Canis lupus familiaris: one gene and its partners. The protein of the gene in region 2 interacts with the protein of the main gene of each other region in a pairwise test. Links are inferred from orthologs where the notes say so. Each region holds a gene or a part of one and is shown on either strand. Other genes may lie near its edges. The genes, in order: CHD2, TRIM41 and CSNK2A2.

Region 1 (3,648 bases), on a different chromosome or scaffold from region 2:
AGGAGATCTGATGAGTTTCGGCCTCAAAATTACCACCAGCAGGATTTCCGACGAATGTCTGACCACCGCCCCCCGATGGGCTATCATGGCCAAGGACCCTCAGACCATTACCGCTCTTTCCACACAGACAAATTGGGGGAGTATAAACAGCCCCTGCCCCCTCTGCACCCTGCAGTCTCAGACCCTCGCTCACCCCCTTCTCAGAAGTCTCCCCACGATTCCAAGTCACCCCTGGATCACAGGTCTCCTTTGGAGAGATCATTAGAACAGAAAAACAATCCAGATTATAACTGGAATGTTCGGAAAACATAAAGGACGACTGGGAAAGAAGGGCAGAGCAAGAGTCATTAAGCACCTGGATATTTTTGGTCTGATCCAGTAGGAGCCAGTTATCTAGACCAATAAGTGGAGTTTCTGGACATGCTGCTGTTGTCAGCTCGCCGGTGGAAGGAGCACCTCGAGGAGTGGAGGGCCTTTCACTCGGTCCAGCTTGGGTTTGGGTCACCACTCCTACACTTTGACACCCCATCCCATTCCAGCCTGGTTCTGGCCTGTCACTGCGATGGGTGCTAGGAGGAAGAGGTGACTTCTGTGTACCAGCTTTGTGAGCTGTGTGTCCCCAGAGAAGGAAGAAGGGATCTTAGAGTCATGAGTATTTTGTTGCCCTGAGCCTGGGTGCAGTGGGCTGGGTAGGAGCGTGTGTGTGTGTGTGTGTGTGTGTGTGCGTGCGTGTGTGTGCGCGTGCGTGCGCGCGTAGGCAGCCAGGACCTGCTGGACGGCACACGATTTGCTTCACTGTGACGTGACAGATGCTGCTGACAGGGAGCGGGGCGTGGGTCTCGCCCCGTGGGACTTGAAGGGGAGCAGTACACTCCTCGGATGTGTTCTTGGGAGAAACCGTGCTGGGGCCTCAGCATGACACCTGTGGTGCAGGGGGGCTAGACAGAGGAAAACAGCTTCCACAGTGGCCCCTTCCCGACCAACACTAATTTTTCCCACACTATCTGTACATTTCAAAGGCTTGGTCTTCTGAGTGGGCCTCCTTTGCCCTGGTGCCAGGGAGAGTAGGGTCCATCTGGCTGACTTCTGAGCACTGTGAGCTAGGCAGCATTGGAGTTGGCATGGGTCTGCCTTTGTTGGGCATGGGCTGAAAGAGGGGCAGGGGCAGTGTGGCCAGGGACTCAGAGTCCCTCGGTGCATTTCTGATCCTGTGATAGGAAGTATTAAATTCAGAGCCTGGGAAGGAGGGAGAAGCTTGCTGCTGGCAGGGGCCCAGGTGGGGGTGCAGGTGTTAAGCAGGTTTCCTGGGGTGGGGCTTCAGGAGTGCCAGGGAATGGGGGCTTTCGTGTTGTGCCAGGTCAGCGTTTGCAGCTGCCTTGTAGTTAATTCTAGTTCCCTTTGCACAGTGTGAATAAGTAGATGACGCACAGCACACATCTCCTGACCCCGTGTGGCGGGTGGACAGGTGGAAACTCCGTTACCTATGGGGAACCCACACATTAGAATTGAACTGCTTATTATTATTATTTTTTTTTTTTTAGGATGAGATCAAAGTATAAACCTAAGTTAAAGTTTTTCCAAACTAGGATGCCTCCAAGGACAGGGGATTGAGCTGCAAACAGGAAGAGTCCTGGGGTTGAACGAGTCAGTGGTGGGAAGGCAGATTGGTTATACCAATTAATCAGGCTCCTTTCATTCTGCGGATCCTGGGCCTTCCATTTTACTCATTTTAAATATAGCTTGCCAGTATTGTTTGAGTATCCAAAGGCCTTTCTAGGTGGGATAATGGACTTGAACCTACAGCATGCCTTCATGTGTCCAGGCTCAGAGCAGGTGAAAACCTTCCCATTAGGCATGCCCAGGGTCAGCTCTCTGAACTAACCCATGAGGACTTCATAAAATGATCATCACTTACTTGCCAGGACCCTGGGCAGCACCATTAATGCCTTTACTAAGGAATTCTCAAGTCCTGTCACCCTAGTGAAGCAGATGTGGCTTTGGTGGTTCGTTGCATCTTGCTGTCCCCAGTATCCTGGGGCCGGCCAGGTGTGCATTCTAGAGGGGCTGGGTCCTCACAGCTTGTGTTGGGAGTTCAGTGGGCCTGCCCCCTCCTGATCTATCTCCTCATGGTACTGGGTAGTTCAGCGTGGGCTTGTACGTACCTGGTCAGCATGCCCTGGAGCATAGCCCAAAGAAATGCATAGGATCCCGTGGCCACAGTCATCCCATTGGGACTGTTCTGTGAGAGAAGAGTGTATTTGCTTTGGCCACCACCAGTAGCTTCTTGATGACAGTACTGAGACTACCCTGTGTTTCTGTTGCCCAGGCCAAAGAGGAAGGCTAGGTTGATTTGCTTGTCCTTTGGGTTGGGAGGGGAGGGAAGAGGGAAGCAGGTGCCCCCAGCATAGCATGTCTCTCCCTGTGGGAAGTCAGGCCGTGTCTTCTGGGAGGCATGGCAGGAGGCCCTGAATTTCAGTTCTCAGCCAGGGTGGTTTTCTCTGAAGTTGATAGGAGGTGTGAGTTATTCCCAAAGATGTCTCATCATGAAGAAAAAGGAACTTCCTTTTGTTTACATTCAGGACTTTTAGTGCCATATGATGTAGCAAAAGGCAATATTAGCCAGATCAGTGTTAAATTGATTATAAAATTACAGTATCCCCATAAAAGCGTCTATTTTAGTGTTGAAGTATGTTTGAAGAGTGAGTTGGGAAAAGGAGGCATTTCCTCATTGACCTAAATCAGTATAAATACTGTATGCTTTTGTCAAAAACGGATTTGCACAGGTAGGTATTCTCTCCCCATGGGGATGGGATAAGCTGCCCCGGGAATCTGCAAGGGTGGTATTCCATGGAGCCTAGCTTTGAAGGATTTCATAATTGGGTAGAAACAGCAGGGTTGAGGAAGAGGGGAGTTAGCATCACCTGAGCTCTGGATATAAACAAGGATTAACGTGGTACACCACAGCCCTGGAAAAGGATGCCTGAAAGCCCAGGTCCAGCCCTGCGGTCTTTCCAGAGACAGCTGGAGAGAAAAAGCCAGGCCCTCTGCAGAGCCCGAGCTGGTGGCCCCTGGGCCCCCTCTCTCTCCTTCTAGTCATTCCTTTCTTTAGCCCTTTCACGGGAAACCAGAACACTTCTCACATCGTGCCGCAGACATTTTAGCCTGATGCCTGAGAGCTGCATCAGGATGTGCGGTGCACATGCAATTCAGTTACAAATTCACACAGGGACACTGGAATCCTACAGACCAAAATCCACTCGTCAGCAGGAGCGGTGGCCCTGGGCGGAGCACCAGTGGTTTTCTGGCTTGTCTGAGGGCTGCCGTGTGGGGCGAGGAGAGCCAGGCCAAGGGTCCAGGCTGCTGTAGTCCATCCGTACCCCATGCGTTTGGGGACAGATGGTTTTTCTTTATTGTAAAATTGTGGACTTTTAAAAACCTGTTGACTAAACAGTAATTAATTTATATTTGTGAAAAATGCCACTGTCCTAGTGATTTCTGATGTAAATACTGTTGTTTATATAGTATGTATTAAATTTTCCTACATTGTAAAACTGCTGTACTTTTGATTCTTGTATATTAAAAAGTGTCACTAAGGATTTTTAGAATTGGTTGAACACAGTTACGTTGCGTTGGCGTGAACTCTGACTG
Region 2 (3,748 bases):
CCCTTTTTGCAGATGGTAGCATAGCTCACACTTTTCAGCATCCTGCTTTTCTCACCTCACAATACATCTTGGAGAGCATTCCCATTTTACAGCTACGAGTATTGCACTGGGTGGAGGCTCGGGTAATTTTACTATTCCTTTGCTGAAGGGCAGCTAGAGAGGTTCATCCAAAGGACACGACAGTGACCAGACGACAGCGCTAGAATGCGTATGGGAATGCCAGCCACAGTGAGGAGGACGGAGAAGGTCTCGGGTCTCGGGCCCCGGCCCCCGGCCCCCGGCCCCCATCCGTCTCGGAGGAACTCCGAGTTGCCAAACAACAAAGTCCTCGGCCTAGAAGGGCCGGAAGTACTTGAGGGCGCTCAGCGGAGCCCGCCCCTCCGCTTCCGGCATCGGCTGTGGGGAGGCCCTGGTGCAGTCCTCCGTGTTCGGTTAGTAGGATGGCGCCAGGCCGACGCGGTCATAGTACCGAGGGCGGACGGCCGCTAAGCGCTCCCATCCTCCCCCAAAGTTTATCCCTAGTGGCGAGGGATGGGGGAGGCCGGTTCTTCCGGGTCGTCCGCGTTCCCTGCTCCTTCCTATTACAGAGATGTGGGCCTCCATCGTTCTAGCTCTCCTGCCCTGTTCCCGTGTGCCTGCTAGAGCGTCTCCTCGTCGTTTCCTGTCGCCCAGAGGCCCGGGAGGAAAGAAGGGGGCGTAGCGCTACCACGGAGGGACCTTGCGAGCTTGGGCGACGCTCAGACACCGGAAGTGTTGGCAGGGAGGCCGGAAGTGAGGGGGAGGAGCCAGGAAGTGAGGAGGGGCGGGGGCTTATGAGGAGGCCAAGGGAGCGTTGGGACAGATTTGCACTCAGGGCCACCTGAGGGACTTGGCTGTAGCGCTCCGCTCTGTCCCCTCCCCTCGCAGAGACACGGTTGTCGTCTAGGAGTAGGAAACTCTGTGTAGAAGGGTGGGTTGTCGGAGGACCTTCCTCTGTCTGCGCTAGAGACAAGGTGTGGAGAGGCGGGGTGGGGGTGGGGCCGGGTCGTCAGGGAGTCTGAGAGGGAAGACCCCCGCCCCCCCGCCCCCCCACCGCCCATCTACACTGGCTGACTGGACACTAAGATGGCTGCCGTTGCCATGGCACCCAACCCTGTGCAGACCCTTCAGGAGGAGGCGGTGTGCGCCATCTGCCTCGATTACTTCACGGACCCCGTGTCCATCGGCTGCGGGCACAACTTCTGCCGAGTGTGTGTAACCCAGCTGTGGGGAGGGGAGGATGAGGAAGACAGGGACGAGTTAGACCGGGAGGAGGATGAGGAGGACGGAGAGGAGGAGGAAGTGGAGGCAGTGGGGGCCGGTGGGGGGTGGGACACCCCCATGCGGGATGAAGACTATGAGGGCGACATGGAGGAGGAGGTCGAGGAGGAAGAGGAGGGTGTGTTTTGGACCAGTGGCATGGGCGGGTCCAACTGGGACAACATGGACTACGTGTGGGAGGAGGAGGACGAGGAGGAAGATTTGGACTACTACTTGGGGGACATGGAGGAGGACCTGAGAGGGGAGGATGAGGAGGACGAGGAGGAAGTACTGGAGGAGGACGAGGAAGAGGAGCTAGACCCCGTCACCCCACTGCCCCCGCCTCCAGCCCCTCGGAGGTGCTTCACCTGCCCCCAGTGCCGAAAGAGCTTTCCCAGGCGGAGCTTCCGCCCCAACCTGCAGCTGGCCAACATGGTCCAGGTGATTCGGCAGATGCACCCAACTCCTGGCCGAGGGAGCCGTGGGAGCGAGCAGGGCATTTGTCCAAAACACCAGGAAGCCCTGAAGCTCTTCTGCGAGGTGGATGAAGAGGCCATCTGTGTGGTGTGCCGAGAATCCAGGAGCCACAAACAGCACAGCGTGGTGCCATTGGAGGAGGTGGTGCAGGAGTACAAGGTGAGAGAAGTAGAAGATGGGAGTTAAGTGGGGGTGGAGAGGAAGTAAGAGGAGCTGGGAAAGGAAACCTGTCCCCTCCTGCCCCCAGAACCTCGTGCACTGATGAGCTTATTCTTCTTTTCTAAGCACTTATTGGCATCAAGGTGGGTTAGATTAAGAAGGATCCTGTACACGACGAAGCAGACCAGTGAAGAAGAGCAGGAAGATTGGTTTCCTCTAGAGAAATTGGGCAAAGCCCAGGTGATGTCACATCACTGGGCTGCATCTCTTGGGGAAAGCCACTGCCGTTTCACACTTCCGTTGTCCCTAAGTGTAGGCGTGCAGGTGGCAGGCCCCTCTGGCTTTACCACCAGTCTCATTTTCCTTTCCTTCAGCCTGTCCTTGACTCAGATGCCTGGAGATGGGAAGGACTTGGGGCCTCAAAGAACAGGAAAGGGCCTTAAGGAATGACTAGTGTCAGATTCAGGTGCTCTGCCACTTGCCTTTTAATGGATTTTTCATCTACCTCATGGTTTGGCTTGGTTCTCTTATCAAAGACTTTTGTTGGATCTGCATCAGCATAATGTACTGACTAGAACTTAACCTTTCCTGAGAATGCAGGAAAAAGGGAGAGGCTTCTTCTTCTTTTTTTTTTTTTTTAACCATTTTATTTATTTATTCATGAGAGAGACAGAGACACAGGCAGAGGGAGAAGCAGGCTCCATGAAGAGAGCCCAATGTGGCACTTGATCCCGGGACCCCAGGAGGCAAGCGCCAAACGGCGGAGCCACCCAGGGATCCCCAAGGGAGAGGCTTCTAAGTCAGAAGACTGGGCTGGCTCTACACTTATTCACTCAGGCATCTTTAAAAGTCTTGGAACTTTAATATCTCAAGGATTAAAAGTTAATATTTACTGAACACTTGCTATGTACACCAGGCACTGTACCAAGCACTTTTCAGGAACTATCTCATTTAAAACTCAAAACAATCCTGTTAAGTTTGATGTGGTTTCTATCCCCATTTTATAGATTAGGAAGCAGATTTAAGTAATATACACAGGGCCACACAGATGGGCTTGGTTGTGACCCCTTCCCCTGCATCCCTGCACACTGTTAACAATGTCACCACCATTTAGATATCTGTTAGTTTGACTTTCCTGATATGTGATTCTAGTTTGGTTAATGCTTTGCACCCTACTTCTGGCCCTTACTCTTTTGGGATATGGGTCAAGATTTGCCTGTAAGACAGCACAGTTAGCACTACTTAGGGAAGGCTGGGACAGGTTTGCAACAGTGGGACCGGGAGGAAGAAGGGGTAGCTCCTATGTGGCCTGTGCAGAACTTTTTTGTTTTATGACCTGTATTTCCACACCTTCTCACACAGTAATGTCATTTAGGGAATCTTATCGTTACCTCCATTTTAGAGTAGAGAGTCTAGAGCTAGAGTACAGCTAAGACAGACTTACATCTTATGACAAGTAACTATTTCATCCACACAGTGATTGTCCCCATTACTAAGGGAGTTTTCAAAAGTACAGTGGGCCCTACCACTTGAGATTCTGAGTCAGAGACAGGGAGGATATCAGAGTATCTTTAAGGAAGTCCAGCCTAGCATGGGAATCACTGCATTGGTAATATCACCTGCTTTGTAGGCCCTGAGTTGTTTGGGGAGGTTGTGATCTCCTTTTGTCCATTTTTTTTTTTTTTCATCTCCTTTTGGCTCTTAGTTAACTGTACCCATCAATGGGCAATTTGTTAATTGAATGTTGGTGTGGAGTATTCATGGGCATTCCACCACTTCTTCACCCTACTCCTACAGGACTCTTGTGAAGAGGTTTCTGAAACTGGATTTTAAT
Region 3 (3,648 bases), on a different chromosome or scaffold from region 2:
GCATAGTGTGCACAGAGCACTAGGGGTACCATCTGAGGCATGGTTATTGTCCTCTGTCGCAGCAGTAAGCTGCCCCTTGGGAGATTGTATTCACGTGAAGCTGTCACAAATAATATGCTTGCGTTGGGAGGTTGGTAGACAGTGTGCTTACTTTTCTCTGTGCTTTCTTATCTAATAGGCTCTGGATTACTGCCACAGCAAGGGAATCATGCACAGGGATGTGAAACCTCACAATGTCATGATAGATCACCAACAGAAAAAGGTACCGTTGCAGCCAGGCAGCAACAAGGCTTTTCTTAAAAGGTCTAGGGCAGACCACAACTCTAGGTATTGACCTAGGAGGGACTGCAGACCAGTACTGTTTTCTTTGGCAGACTTGTGTTATTGTTATTTCTCCGGTCTCCAGTGTTGCTTTCTGCTCTGCATGAGCATGGTACACAAGGAAAGTAGACCCGTGAGCCTAACTGTAGTCCCTTGTTTATTTTGGTCATGGTTTTCCAGAGGGCCTCGCAAAGAAACTCCAGCAGATGGTTTGTACTTCTTTTAATGACCCTTAGACCAGTCTGCCTAGCCTTTACACTTGGGTCCCTCCTGTTTTTCATATCCAATTCTGGTTGTCTCTGATTGGTGAGTAAGTGATTCCACTACTGTGTGATTAATGAAAAGCTGGAGCAATGCTTCAATCCTGGGGTGGGGCCTGGGTCTCCAACCCTTTGTGTTGTGGCTTGAGCTTATGATGGGAGCTGTTAATAATGGGGGAATGTGTTATATGCAAGTAAAACAGAGGCAGAGTAAAAAGCTTAAGCTTGATTGATGGGAAGAGAATGATAAGCCAGGATAATTTAAATTAAAAAAAAAAAACAACAACAAATAAGATTCTGAAAGCTCTACTGTAGAGGTGACCTCTTCCACAGTTGCTGAAAGGGTAATTTTTGCCAGTGCACTGGCTAACATTTGTTATGTAGCGCACATATTGTCAGCTAACGTGATGTGGCCTTTTTCTAAGGCACAGGTGTCTAGAAACACTCCTTTACGGGTTTGATTTCTGTTGTGTTTGTAGCTGCGGCTCATAGACTGGGGTCTGGCAGAGTTCTACCACCCTGCTCAGGAGTACAATGTCCGTGTAGCATCGAGGTACTTCAAGGGACCGGAGCTCCTTGTGGACTATCAGGTACAACTCACGCCTCCTTTGTGTGTTTCCTTAGGGCTTCTCCTCGTGTGCTGTTTATTAAGTCAGTTTGGATACATTCAAAACCCCAGCCTGAAGCAGTCATTTCAGATTTTTCTCAGTGACTTTTTTTTTTTTCTTTGAATTCTAAAATATGTGCAAAGGTCAACTGAAGACTAGAAATCCAGATCAAAGAAATACATTTGCAACACCTTTCACTAACAGGCTGACCTTGTTTCCCCAGATGTACGATTACAGCTTGGACATGTGGAGTTTGGGCTGTATGTTAGCAAGCATGATCTTTCGAAAGGAGCCCTTCTTTCACGGACAGGACAACTATGACCAGGTGAGCAAACACTAACTGGCTCTTCCCCATGTGGGGGCACATGCCAAAGAAATGGGAGTCTGTTGACAGGGATGCTATCCTTGAGTCACTCAGTGTCTGCACTTAAGTTCTCCTTCAGGGTAAAGAGCTTCATGAGATTTTGTCTGTGGTTACTAGGTCCCCAAACATAGAGCCAGATAAAGCTATCTTACTAAGCTCCACGTATGCCCCACAGTGAGTCTGTGAAGAAGTCAGACACACCTTGTCTAACAACTAGCTTCTAGATTAGATTGTGATGCCCCCGTAATTGTCAGCTTCTGGAAGATTATTGTCTTAAGTTATTACCATTTTATTTTTGTTTTGTTTTTAATTTTTTTTTTTTTTATTTATTTATGATGGTCACACAGAGAGAGAGAGAGAGGCAGAGACATAGGCAGAGGGAGAAGCAGGCTCCATGCACTGGGAGCCTGATGTGGGATTCGATCCCCGGTCTCCAGGATCGCGCCCTGGGCCAAAGGCAGGCGCCAAACCGCTGCGCCACCCAGGGATCCCAGTTATTACCATTTTAAAGGGAGTTTGGAAATTTGCTTTCTGTGAACATCATTGGCCTTTGGTCTACCTCCTGTCAGCCCCGGGCTCCAATCTGCCTCTGGTCCCTGGAGATTCAGTGATGGAGAAGTCCTCTCATTTCTTGGGATAGCATCCTCACAGGCTTGCGGTGAGCTCTGTGCTCAGTAATTTGGTCAGTTTGTTTTGTGTTTCAGCTTGTTCGCATTGCCAAGGTTCTGGGTACAGATGAGCTGTATGGGTATCTGAAGAAGTATCACATAGACCTAGATCCGCACTTCAACGATATCCTGGGACAGTAAGTAAGAGAGAGGGAGAGAGAACGAGGGTTTTAACTAAACCCATTTCAGAAGAGGGAATATTCGCCGAAATCACTTGCTAATCATAGCAAAGTTGAAAATACCCTTCTTTTTTCTCATGTATGCTTTTTAAAACTTGTTTTGAGGTTTGGGCATTGTTTACATGTGTCTTCTGATCGTTGTACTTCTCCAAGAGATAACCTGTCAGTCCATAGAAAATAGGAGACAAAATCCTGTTACAGTGAAATGCTTTGCAGGACAGTGTATGCTTATTTTAATGGAAAATCTTAGAAAGCTGTGATTCTTCTTTGAGGAAGAGATTTATAGTTTTTTCTTGTTCTAGTTAACGGGTTTTCTACAAGGTGGCAAATTTTATTTTTTTTTAAGATCTTATTTATTTATTCATGATAGACATAGAGAGAGAGAGAGAGGCAGAGACACAGGCAGAGGGAGAAAAGCAGGCAGGCTCCATGCCAGGAGCCTGACGTGGGACTCGATCCCGGGACTCCAGGATCGCGCCCTGGGCCAAAGGCAGGCACCAAACCGCTGAGCCACCCAGGGATCCCCCCAACGTGGCAAATTTTAAAGCATATTTGCAGGTACAGTGTACTAGTGTTGAAAAGTAAATGCGTTGACAGTTCTCAGTGTTTTGTGGAGCCTCTGTTTCCAAGGCTAGCTCTCTAAATATTTTTGCTGCACAACAAAAATAACTCTGTCACCTCTGTGCCTCACCAGAATTGACTAAAAGCCTGATCCATAAGAAATGATCTAGGAAGGTGCCACAAATTCTAAATCAGATGTAGAAGCTTTAGTTCATTTTATCAGAGAGCATGTTTTTTGTTTCAAGATGCCTCAGATATTCCCGTGGAGGGTGGGGCAGACACCTGTGAGAATGAGATTTAATAAGTTTATAATCCTCCTGGGGTTCTAAGATTCTATTGGCTTTAACCATGGTAATGTCTGGATTCTTGTTGAATTGAATCTCAGTACCAGTGCTTCCCTTTCCTCCTCAGACATTCACGGAAACGCTGGGAAAACTTTATCCACAGTGAGAACAGACACCTCGTCAGCCCTGAGGCCCTAGATCTTCTGGACAAACTTCTGCGATACGACCATCAACAGAGACTGACCGCCAAAGAGGCCATGGAGCATCCCTACTTCTGTGAGTCTCCAGGGACCATTTGCAGGGGCCTGATTTATTAAAGGAATAAGTCTCCTGTTCTTTATCTTTGAGGCCAGTCAGGAGAATTCTAGGTGTTTGGATTGAATCATCCTTGGAATTTGGCCTC

What was found.
Region 1: the proteins of TRIM41 (region 2) and CHD2 interact in binary tests that used the Homo sapiens proteins (3 or more experiments, as listed by UniProt). The two-hybrid records come from large-scale screens. The link is inferred for Canis lupus familiaris from reciprocal best matches to the Homo sapiens genes TRIM41 and CHD2.
Region 3: the proteins of TRIM41 (region 2) and CSNK2A2 interact in a two-hybrid assay, tested with the Homo sapiens proteins (3 studies listed by BioGRID and IntAct). The two-hybrid records come from large-scale screens. The link is inferred for Canis lupus familiaris from reciprocal best matches to the Homo sapiens genes TRIM41 and CSNK2A2.

The regions. Positions count from the first base shown.
Region 1 is NC_049224.1:47,591,949-47,595,596, reverse strand, and holds the end of CHD2 (chromodomain-helicase-DNA-binding protein 2), read left to right. Parts: coding exon 1-312; 3' UTR 313-3,605; downstream 3,606-3,648. UniProt on the Homo sapiens protein: ATP-dependent chromatin-remodeling factor that specifically binds to the promoter of target genes, leading to chromatin remodeling, possibly by promoting deposition of histone H3.3.
Region 2 is NC_049232.1:598,946-602,693, forward strand, and holds the start of TRIM41 (E3 ubiquitin-protein ligase TRIM41), read left to right. Parts: upstream 1-1,042; 5' UTR 1,043-1,104; coding exon 1,105-1,914; intron 1,915-3,748.
Region 3 is NC_049223.1:57,697,632-57,701,279, forward strand, and holds part of CSNK2A2 (casein kinase II subunit alpha'), read left to right. Parts: intron 1-178; coding exon 179-262; intron 263-1,060; coding exon 1,061-1,171; intron 1,172-1,412; coding exon 1,413-1,514; intron 1,515-2,257; coding exon 2,258-2,358; intron 2,359-3,372; coding exon 3,373-3,521; intron 3,522-3,648.